Callithrix jacchus: one gene and its partners. The protein of the gene in region 1 purifies or fractionates together with the protein of each later gene. This does not show direct contact. Links are inferred from orthologs where the notes say so. Each region holds a gene or a part of one and is shown in the gene's direction. Other genes may lie near its edges.

What was found.
Region 2: the proteins of STX7 (region 1) and PTTG1IP purify together in Homo sapiens (affinity purification with mass spectrometry; 3 studies listed by BioGRID and IntAct, counting the BioPlex papers as one, with this or other methods). This does not show direct contact. The link is inferred for Callithrix jacchus from reciprocal best matches to the Homo sapiens genes STX7 and PTTG1IP.
Region 3: the proteins of STX7 (region 1) and VAMP4 purify together in Homo sapiens (affinity purification with mass spectrometry; 3 studies listed by BioGRID and IntAct, counting the BioPlex papers as one, with this or other methods). This does not show direct contact. The link is inferred for Callithrix jacchus from reciprocal best matches to the Homo sapiens genes STX7 and VAMP4.

What each region holds. Positions count from the first base shown.
Region 1 is NC_133505.1:139,117,927-139,121,580, reverse strand, and holds part of STX7 (syntaxin-7), read left to right. Parts: intron 1-825; coding exon 826-919; intron 920-1,597; coding exon 1,598-1,735; intron 1,736-2,851; coding exon 2,852-2,904; intron 2,905-3,419; coding exon 3,420-3,516; intron 3,517-3,654. UniProt on the Homo sapiens protein: May be involved in protein trafficking from the plasma membrane to the early endosome (EE) as well as in homotypic fusion of endocytic organelles. Mediates the endocytic trafficking from early endosomes to late endosomes and lysosomes.
Region 2 is NC_133522.1:50,512,751-50,516,404, reverse strand, and holds part of PTTG1IP (pituitary tumor-transforming gene 1 protein-interacting protein), read left to right. Parts: intron 1-1,849; coding exon 1,850-2,021; intron 2,022-2,923; coding exon 2,924-2,970; intron 2,971-3,654. UniProt on the Homo sapiens protein: May facilitate PTTG1 nuclear translocation.
Region 3 is NC_133519.1:31,011,118-31,014,771, forward strand, and holds part of VAMP4 (vesicle-associated membrane protein 4), read left to right. Parts: intron 1-1,946; coding exon 1,947-2,047; intron 2,048-2,934; coding exon 2,935-3,014; intron 3,015-3,654. UniProt on the Homo sapiens protein: Involved in the pathway that functions to remove an inhibitor (probably synaptotagmin-4) of calcium-triggered exocytosis during the maturation of secretory granules.

The sequences.
Region 1 (3,654 bases):
TGTAAACTTGCTTCAATATTGCCTCTTTTCTTTTTGTTTATTTGTTTGTTTGAGACAGTTTCCCTCTGTTGCTCAGGCTGAAGTACAGTGGTGTGATCTCAGCTCACTGCAACCTCCGCCTCCCATGTTCAAGTGATTCTCCTGCCTCAGCCTCCTAAGTAGCTGGGATTACAGATGTGCACCACTGTACCTGGCTAATTTTTGTTGTTTTTGGTAGAGATAAGGTTTTGCCATGTTGGACAGGCTGGTCTCAAACTCCTGGCCTACGACGATCTGCCCACCTCAGCCTCTCAGAGTGTTGGGGTGACAGACATGAACCGGCAAGCTTGGGCCTTTTTTTTTTTTTTTTTTAAGTATCTATAGCATATACATGGTCATATAGAGAAATAGGAGAGGCCAGATATAACTAAGATCTGGGAATGAGGTACAGTCTAAGGCAACAAATCTTTTCTTGCTCACCTCACCTTCCAGGTGTGAGATGTGGATAAAAGGCTCCCACATCCCCAATATCTCAAACTTAAAGGATCAGACGTCCAACAGTCTCCTTTTCAAGTTTCCTCTGACTTGATTCATCTGTTTCTAAATGGTCATTGATTTTTATTTCTCTAAGCTCAGCTAACCTGTGTGAGTGAAGAACCTGACATACAATATTTGCTCAATATTTATCAAAGAAAAGGACATGAATTTTTTTTTACGAAGTTCAGAGCCAGTTTATGCAAAGGCAATTTTTATACAACTATTTGTCAGTGTTGATTTAAATGGCAGAGTTGCAGCTTAAAGAAGTATATTAATCCTTTGGCCATAATGTGTGTTTTCTCACTTCAGGCAACAGAAGCAGCAGTATACTAACCAGCTTGCCAAAGAAACAGACAAGTACATTAAAGAGTTTGGATCTCTGCCCACCACCCCCAGTGAACAGGTATGAAGCTTTAAGACCCATTGTTGATGTATTGAATGTGAAAAAAATCAAATGCATTGTAGGATCTTTGAACTCTTATGCTAAAAAGGAAATCAAAAATAATTCTGCTTGACATTAGTTCACAGAACACAAAACTATATTTAATTGCTCAGGTAGTATCCTGTGGTTCAATAAAGCAAAAATTATTTCCATGCATTTGCCCTGACCCGTAATTAAGTAAGTTCTCAGAAAATGCTTCCTGAGTAATTATTTCCTGGCCTCCCAGGTCTGACTTCATGCAACGTGCAGACTCATTCAGCATGTGAGGTGTCCTGGGGGAACATATTTATTTCCCTGCTTATGCAATGGAAGTTATTACTTAGCTAAAAGCATAAGGCTTTATTTGTCTAAAAAGGAATTGCTTAAAATAGGCTCAAAATCATGAGCTAGTGTTTAGCAGCGTGAAAACTTGAGGTGACAAATCCAGCACAATGGGTCTTTTGCCTCAAGTTAAATATGTACAGTGTTTGACATACTGTCAGAATGTTATTGAGAGTTAATCCGTAAGGCCTGGTAATTGGGGAGTAAGTGAAAACTTCAGGATTAGATAAAGAGCCAGCTAATGATAAAACAGCTACCAAATTCTGTTGAACTTCACAGCTTGATTCTACTTGGCCTTGTTTTTTCTCTTACCCCTAGCGTCAAAGGAAAATACAGAAAGATCGCTTAGTGGCAGAGTTCACAACATCACTGACAAACTTCCAGAAGGTCCAGAGGCAGGCTGCTGAGCGAGAGAAAGAGTTTGTTGCTCGAGTAAGAGCCAGTTCCAGAGTGTCTGTAAGTATTTAGAGAGACATTCTAGAAATAAACATGATTACTTTTTTTTTTTTTTTTGAGACGGAGTTTCGCTCTTGTTACCCAGGCTGGAGTGCAATGGCGCGGTCTCGGCTCACCACAACCTCCGCCTCCTGGGTTCAGGCAATTCTCCTGCCTCAGCCTCCTGAGTAGCTGGGATTACAGGCACGCACCACCATGCCCAGCTAATTTTTTGTATTTTTAGTAGAGACGGGGTTTCACCATGTTGACCAGGATGGTCTCGATCTATTGACCTCGTGATCCACCTGCCTCAGCCTCCCAAACATGATTACTTTCTAAGGGGCCCATGAAAGTCAGTAGTAGCATACGATCTGTGAATATCTTGGAAATCAGCACTTGAATATTTATTTTTATGCTTTTCTTCTCCATTTTTAGAGAAGGATGATAATTATGTATTACTATGGTTATTTTTTCTGTGTCATTTTATAGAATATTATAGATTATGTAAAAATTTAGAGACATAATTTGTCAGAAAAGATTAGGGATCAAGTCCTCATTAGTATTCTCATATTGTCTTGGCACTGAGGCTTTCTGCTTGTGTACACACTAATATAGAAAGCACTTTCCTCCTGGATTACACCAAGATGACAAAGATGAATGGTGCAAGTATGTTGTATGAATATTGAAAATGAACATGAGCCTGGAGAAAATAAATGAAACTTTTCAGTAGAATTTTGAATTAATCTAATTTTAAATTCCCTTATAAAGTATCATGAGTTGTTTTCTTATTCCTTAACATACGGATTCCAAGACTGCATTAAGCTTTAACCAAGTAATACTTGAGAATATTTAGTATTCTAACACTTTAGAATATTTAGTCAATTCCTTTCTTGTCTACTTAGAATATAAAATTACTTATAATTATATTATTACTTGAAACAGTTGACCTGAAAAATTAAAACAAGAATGTCTTTCTCTCTCTGTACACAAACACACACACACACATACACACACGCGCGTGCACGTATATGTAAATCAGTTTAGATTATCATAAGGGAAAATATGAGTGTTGTTTATTTTTTCTTATTTTTCCTCTCTTTGCCCCTTCTCATTCCATCCTGTTACTAAATTATTCAGGGCGGTTTTCCTGAGGACAGCTCAAAAGAAAGGAATCTTGTATCCTGGGAAAGGTAAGAAATAGAAAATATTTTACAGATCAAAAGGTAATTTTTCAAAGTTTATACATTAAGGTCCCTAGAACAGAATTAAAACTTTCAGTATATTATATCATAAATACCTTAAGTTTTTTATACATTGAAAACAGAGAGTAAGTTTGAAAAACAAATTCACTAATTATAAAGTATTTATTATATATAAAATTTTCCAAATAAATATTTATGGACTTAATAGACACATTCCCTTATATGAGGTTTAAGTCAGGTGAGAAGAAATACCCAGTTGCCCAATATAACTTCCAATGATTAAGTAATAACACTAAACTCATATTAGATAAAATGATATAAGTGAAATGAAAAATGAGTAAAATTTGATTATTATAGTCTTAGAATTTTTTAAGTGAGAAGTTCTGTGACTTGGAAAAATAAAATCTCCTATTTAATGAATATATCTTAAATAGGAAATGAGTCTCATTGTTTTGAATACCAACCAATCTTTGTTTTTTTCCACATTCATTTTTTTCTGTTAGCCAAACTCAACCTCAAGTGCAGGTGCAGGATGAAGAAATTACAGAGGATGACCTCCGCCTTATTCATGAAAGAGAGTCTTCTATCAGGCAACTTGAAGTAAGCCTTACATTATAGCCTTGGGCTGCTGCTCTGTTCTTAGTCAGTTTCTTATCAAGATGCTTGGATAATGCTGGGCGAAGGCATGAGAAAGAATTTTTTTTTTAGGCAGCTCCCTCTGTGGCCCAGTCTGGAGTG
Region 2 (3,654 bases), on another chromosome or scaffold:
ATGTTTTAGGGCCAGCTATCTTGTTGGTCTCATTGGGTTTTTTAGCTGATTTTTCTGGAGTTCTCCAGTCAAAAAATGACATCTTTAGCCTGGCGCAGTGGCATGGGCCTGTAATCCCAGCACTTTGGGAGGTGGGGGGATCACTTGAGGTCAGGAGTTCAAGACCAGCCTGACCAACGTGATCAAACCCTGTCTCTATTTAAAAAATACAGAATTAGCTAAGTGGTGGTGCATGCCTGTAATCCCAGCTACTCGGGAGGCTGAGGCAGGAGACTTGCTTGAACCCCGGAGGTGGGGGTTGCAGTGAGCCAAGATCGTGCCATTGCAGCCTGGGCAACAAGAGCAAAACTCCGTCTCAAAAAAAAAAAAAAATGACATCTTCTGCCAATGAAGGTCCCCTCTCTAATTCTCTCTATTATTGTAATGTTTGCAATTTGATATTTCCAGAACGGTTCAGGGAAAGAAAAAACAGGATTAGAAGCTCAAAAGGCATTTGATCAGATGCAACTCCCATTCCTGATTTTCAAACTAGTTTAATCAAGTAAAAAATGAGTTGTGTTAAATGATAACCCACTAGAAGTGCATCTCAGGGCGCACGGCAGCAAAGGGCCGGACTGAGGGAGTCCATGCAGCCCCTGGAGGTCAGAGCTCTCACCTGTGGCGTGGCACAGCTACTAACTAGAGTTACAAACAGTGAATCATAGGTTATCTACTGCCCAGGGGAGTTTGCTCATAAAGCGTCTTCAGGAGACTGGGTGGGTGTTTTCTGTTTTTTTCGAGACGGTGTCTTGCTGTGTTGCCCAGGTTGGAGTGCAGTAGTGCAGGCATGGCTCATTGCAGCCTCAACCTCCCAGCCCAAGCGATCCTCCCACCTCAGCCTCCCATGTTGCTGGGACCAGACGTGCATGCCACCGCATCCAGCTAATTTTGTGAAAGTTTGCGTAGAAATGGGCAGGGGTGGGGTCTCACTTTGTTGGCCAGGCTGGTGTTGAACTCCTGGACTCACGCACTCTTGTTTCGGCCTCCACAGTGCTGGGATTATGGGTGTTCCAGCCAAGGAGGCTGTTTGAACTGGATGACTGAAAACACGTTTGCAGAGCAGTGTTAGGGCATTTTCTAACTGGCCGTGGTTTGAACTGAATGGAAAAGTCTTGGCTGATTTTAATTTATAGATCTTTAAAAGAAGTTGAATAGTAAGATTTGTTTTAAATTTGCATGTGTCTCTGAAGGTTGATTATGGAGGTCATTAGTGTTGGGTACTGATTAGCCCTTTTTCAACCCCAGGGAACCCAAAATACTCAGATCTGAGGATGACCCCATCTTGTTCCATGGCCTGGTCCGCCCCTCCCAGGTCACTCCTTTTGAGTCTGGCGGTCAGTCTGTGCCCTGAGTTTCTTTCTCCTGTAAATAAGTGTAATAGTCTTGACTTTGCTTTAAACAAAAACAAAGCTGCATCAGGCTTCACATCCATTTCTATGCGTTTAGAATGTCTTAGGAGGGTCTGAATATGTAGCTTAGAATTCTGATTTAGTTAACTTTTCTTGTGCTTCGAATACCTTTGCAAACTCAAGTGAGATTACCGTGTCACTTCAGTTCATCGTGGTTAATCCATCAGTGGTAGTCACAGATGTGAACCTGTGGCTGAAAGGAGGCTCAGAGAGGGCCGGACGCTGTGGGGTGGGTACAGGGCCACAGGCTCTCCACACCCCGGGAGCCAGCAGCTGGGCCGAGGCGTTTACTACTTAATGCTCCCGTGTTCTGAGATGGTTCCCAGGGACAAGGGAAGGGTGCTGCGCTGGGGTGGTTCTGTGTCTGTGGCGGCCCTAACTCGAGGTGTGTGACTCTCCAGTGAACTTTGAGGCACTGATCATCACCATGTCGGTGGTTGGGGGAGCCCTCCTCCTGGGCATCGCCGTCTGCTGCTGCTGCTGCTGCAGGAGGAAGAGGAGCCGGAAGCCAGACAGGAGCGAGGAGAAGGCCATGCGTGAACGGGAGGAGAGGCGGATACGGCAGGAGGAACGGTGAGGTCGCAGCGATCCCCTCTGGGAAGAAGTTGGCCTCGAGGGGATTCACATCTCCAAGGCCATGGGAGTCACGTGCATACATCATGAGTTTTCCTCAGGTTTTAGAAATTAAGAATGTGTATAGCACCCAGGGGACCTTCTAGGTCATGGTGGAGAGTGAGAACAGGGTGGGAACCTGACGGTGGCCATGGACCTTGCTTCCACAGGCTTCCTTGCCTGTCTCCTCCGGTCCGTGCAATGAGGCTCGCATCTGTGGCGTCACGGGTCTCTTATGGCTGCTAAGGCGGCTGGTCCAGGCTCTCCATGTGCCAGGAGCAAGCTGAGGCTCAGAGGGGACAGCGTCTGCTTGTGGCCAGGTTGGCTCTCCTGTCACCATTCCCTGGTGACACAGTACTCTCCTGGGGCTGTTGGGTAGCCCTGGGAGGAGGTGGTGTCAGCCACACCTGGCAAGGGAGTCAAGCTGGCAGCTGGTGAGGGTGGAGGCAGGACACATTTTCCATGCATCCACCTTGAAGTCACATGCTACTAGGTAAAACTGATGATCGCATTTCCTAACCCTGTTCAGAACCTGGTGTATGATTTTTACTCATCGGTGTATTTTTTTTTGTATGAAAAAAGCTTTTGAAAAATCACAATATCGGGCATTTGAATTACTTTTATTGAAAAGAATAGATAATACATTGGAATAGCCTCGGAAGACTGGGTTCACTGTCACCCTGCCTGTCCTCGTGGGTGTGTGGTCCAGTGACCAAGCTTGTCCCTACCCTGGTTTCACTCTGGGAACTGGAGGGAAGCCACCAGAAGAAACCTGCAGCCCCTCCTGAGGGACACGGAGGGCATGTCATACAGTTACACTGAATGCTGTAGCTTGATGCTAATCATGTTTCTCTGTGTTTTAGGAGAGCGGAGATGAAGACAAGACATGACGAAATCAGAAAAAAATATGGTAAGGACTGGACCAGCCCCCTTTTGGACAGGTTGGAAGGCGATGCTGCGCCGTCTTGGTCCTTGTTAGTGCTGGTGGGGCCTGACACCAGGCTGGTTCACCCGTCGGAATAGAACCAAGTGCTGGTGGGGCCTGAGATTGGGCTAGGGGTTCACCCATCAGTGCAGAACTGCTTCTCTCAGAGAGGAGCAGCTGGCGTCCCTGGCGGTGCCGCGGTGAACCCGCTCCTAGGAATATTTTTATCTCAGCCAGTTGTCTTTATGAAGTCTGTTTTCCTGGGTACCTGTTTGCTTATCAAGTCGCAAGGCCTCTGGGCTGGAAGTCTCGGCTCTTCCTCGGTCATGTTTGGCTCCCTGTGGGTGCATCTATGTAACCGAGGTGCCGGTGCTGTAAGTTTCCCCTCTTTGTTTCGGGACGGCCCCTCACCCTCGGGAGCAATGCTGGTTGCCATCTTCTGAGTGTGGCAGAAGTTCCTTCTGAGAATTGCCGGCACGGGCCCTGCTCCCTCTTGCCTGGCCTTGGCGCTCTGTTGTTTGGTCTGGGGAGATTTTGAGGGGCAGCTTTGAAGGAGCTAGAATGAATGTATTTGCCGAAAGTAAACCTTGTTTAGATGGAGTGAACTGGAAACACACATTACATTACCTGTCCTGTCCTCCCCAGATCACATGGTGTTCACTGCTTGGC
Region 3 (3,654 bases), on another chromosome or scaffold:
CAGATCTGTTTGGGCAGAAGAGAGTTCTGCATGCCCAACTTGGATGAGCTTCAGTCTTATATCCTCCAGTGGAGTAATATGTGGGAAGCACAGAACTCTGGGATGCTGTGAAAAATCTTGAAGTTTATGTGTGGGTAATCGATGGGTATACATAATGCTTTTAACATGGAAGGTAGGTGACTTTCATCAAGCTTTTAATTGCTACTTGAATCTGAGAGTATTTCTGAATCCATCTATGTCTAAATGGGCCTTCATTTTGTTTTTAAGCACACTTTTTGAAGAACTAGCTCAATGATAGGAAAGGATAGACCTGTTTCAAAATTAAACATGACCATGGCTTACCCCTGACTTACTACGTTGGGGGCTTGTGTGGGATAGAGGACAGAGACCATATCTGTGTACTGTAAAAACTTGTTAAAGCCCCCTAGATGATAACTCATACACTTCTTTTTCAACTAGAAACACAATTGCATATTTTCATTTATTTAAATACACACATACACACACACATACACATTTAATGTTTATATACCATCATGGGCCCTTAATGACAGGATACGTTTGGAGAATTGCATCATTAGGCAGTTTCACTGTGTGAACATTATAGAGCATACTTACACAAACCTACCTGGTGTAGCCTACTATACACATAAGCTACAAACCCATCCAGCATGTGACTATACTGAATACTGTAGGTAACTGTAACACAATGGTAAGTATCTGTGTGTTTAAACATATGTAAACATGCAGTAAAAATATGGTATTATAAGTTATGGGACCACCATTGTAAATATGGCTTATTATTGACCAACATGTTTGTAGCACATGCCTGTAGTTGCTAGTAATCCAATGCACTTTCAACAGTTTTGAGTTATGAGGACCATGGATTTGCTTTATTCCTCTTTTAAAATATTTCATTATTGTGACTTATTTCATAAAGTAATTTAGATAATTTTTTGTCTTGTGGTTAGAGCAACACAGGAGAACAAGACACTTAAAATCATTAACCATGTCCATGTTTGTGTACTCTGGTGGTAACTCCTGAATGAAAGTAGGTACCTGAGGACCAGTTGTAGTTATTAAAATTTTAAGTTTAGGTTAAGTCTTTACTAAACAGTCTGAAATTTGGTTAAAACAGGTCCCAGTTGTTCTTCAATTGTTTGTTAATCCTTTATATTAGATGATATGACTATTATGATATTATATGACTATTATATCATCTTATTACGATATTATATGACTATTATATCATCTAATATAAAGGATTAGCAAACAATTTTTTTCTTTTTGCTTTCTGGTGGGTACTTCAAAATATTCCTAGGTGTCCCCAGTTGTCTTATACCCTGTTTATGTTTAAGAAAAAACTGATGAGTAGTGAAGAATTCTACCCATTGAACATTAGTATCTCTTAGAATATGCCATACATTTCCGTTTTGGAAACTAGATACTTATCATAAGCCTTTACCATACCTGAGCAAAAGGTATGTTAACATAACTACTTTGTTAGCCTACATGTATGAAATATATAGCAAAAGTAGAGTACAGCGATGTCTGTGTGTGCTGCCTCAAAGGCCTGTTGAAAAGAAAATGAAACATTTTTAGTGAAGCTGTTTAACTAAATTCTATGCTTAATGAGCATGCTGCCAGTACATTTAACTTCCTTATGGGTTACAAGTCAGAAGTAGGGCTAAAAGTAAGCTATCTTTAAATATTACTTTAATTTATATCGTATTGTCTTTCATTATGTGAATACTGAAGCCCACAAATGGAAGGACATTGCTACAAAGTCTTCAATTTAAATTCTGTAACTGAATAATTCTGAGAGAATTTGCTATTTTTTATTATGTCTAATAAAAGTTCCAAAAATTTTTTGCTCCAAGTGATAGGAAGAAAAAAATTGTAAGCATTCTCACAAGAAGAATAAATCATTATCTTTTTTAACCTAGTGTTCAGAATCAGGTGGATGAAGTTATTGATGTCATGCAAGAAAATATTACAAAGGTAATTGAGAGAGGGGAGAGACTAGATGAACTACAGGACAAATCAGGTACAGATCTTCATGTATTTCTTGATATTATTACTCTGTTTGCTAGTTTATGTCTTCTACTTGTCTAGCCAGTGTTTACAAATCTTGGCTTAGGAAATTGGCATTTGGTTCTTATATGTATGATTTTACTGGTTTAATTTTAACTCCTTTGCTCTGAAGAGTTTAAAATTTCATTGTTGAAGAGTAGAGCTGTTTTTTCTTTTGCCCTGTAATGTTGATGTACTTTGTGTTTCTCATGATCTCAGGGCCTAAAGACTTACCACTTTTCAACACTTGTCTCTAACTTACCTGATATTTTTATTCTATGCTTTATTTGATAACTTAGTCACCTTTCTTTACTTTCACTCGTTACACCTGTAACCTATACCTATACCTGGCACATACTTGGCACTCAAATATTGTTTGAATGGTGAATGGCTGAATAGCTGGTTAATCTTTTACAGACTTACTTAAAAAAAAAAACCTCGCTTAGTCACTTTTAAAATGTATTTTGTTTTCCTTTAAAATCAGTCACTGTTGATATTTAAGAACCTTTTCCACATGTTTTTTTTTCTAGAGGTGTGCCAAGTATTTGAATTTTTAAAGAGTATTTTCTTACTAGAATTCCTAAGTTTATTTGTAAGCATTGAGGCCCTAAAAAGACTTTTCTTAATTTTATAATAAAAAACGATTGCACAAACTGATCTGTAAGCTGTTTGTTGCTTTTGTTTTGTTAATGTATAATGCCAGAATTTGTGGGTGGGAAAAAAAGGGAGAATGTTGTTTTCATGCTTAAAAGGGAATCAATTTGCAGAAGTAGAAATTAATATTTTCTTATCTTTGTGTGACTAGATAAAAGAATCCTGTTATGTCGTTTAATCCTTCTCTCCATCCTCTATGTGATATAGAAAGCTTATCGGATAATGCAACAGCTTTTAGCAACAGATCCAAACAACTTCGAAGGCAAATGTGGTGGCGTGGATGCAAAGTAAGTAAATCAGAAGATACTGGGTAGATTGGTCAGCATCTGAAGTGGTATTCAAACACATGAAGAAAAAAGGGCCTCTAGAGCATAACCTCTGTGAAAACAGGGCCTATAACTGTCCTGAGACATGGTAGAAATACTTGTTAACTTAATGGCTTTGGGGACAGGGATAACTAAATAAGTATGCCTAAAAGGATATTTTCATAGATTTTTTTCATGAAATTATTCCAGATTTTATTAATAACTTGGTTACCACTAGACTTACTAACTTGTAACAAATACACATTTTTCCTTATAATTTACTCAGTACTTTTTTGGAGCAACGTCTATAGCATTATGTAGAGCTATCAAAAAAATAAAGTGGAAGCTAGAGAAAAATATGACTTTTGGTTGAAGGGGGAAAAAAATAAAAGCAGCTTACATATCAGAATCTGTTAAGGCAAATAGAGTTAAGAAAAAACTCCACTTCCCTCATTATTCCAGAAAAACAAAAAATAAATTTTTAACAAGAAAAATATTGAGAATCGCTACATACTAATACACTCCTGCAAAGTATTTTATAGAAATAAAATTTACTTCTTAATCAAGTGTGACTACTAATCAATCATTAACAGAAAATGGTTTTCATGTTATGTGAGCAATT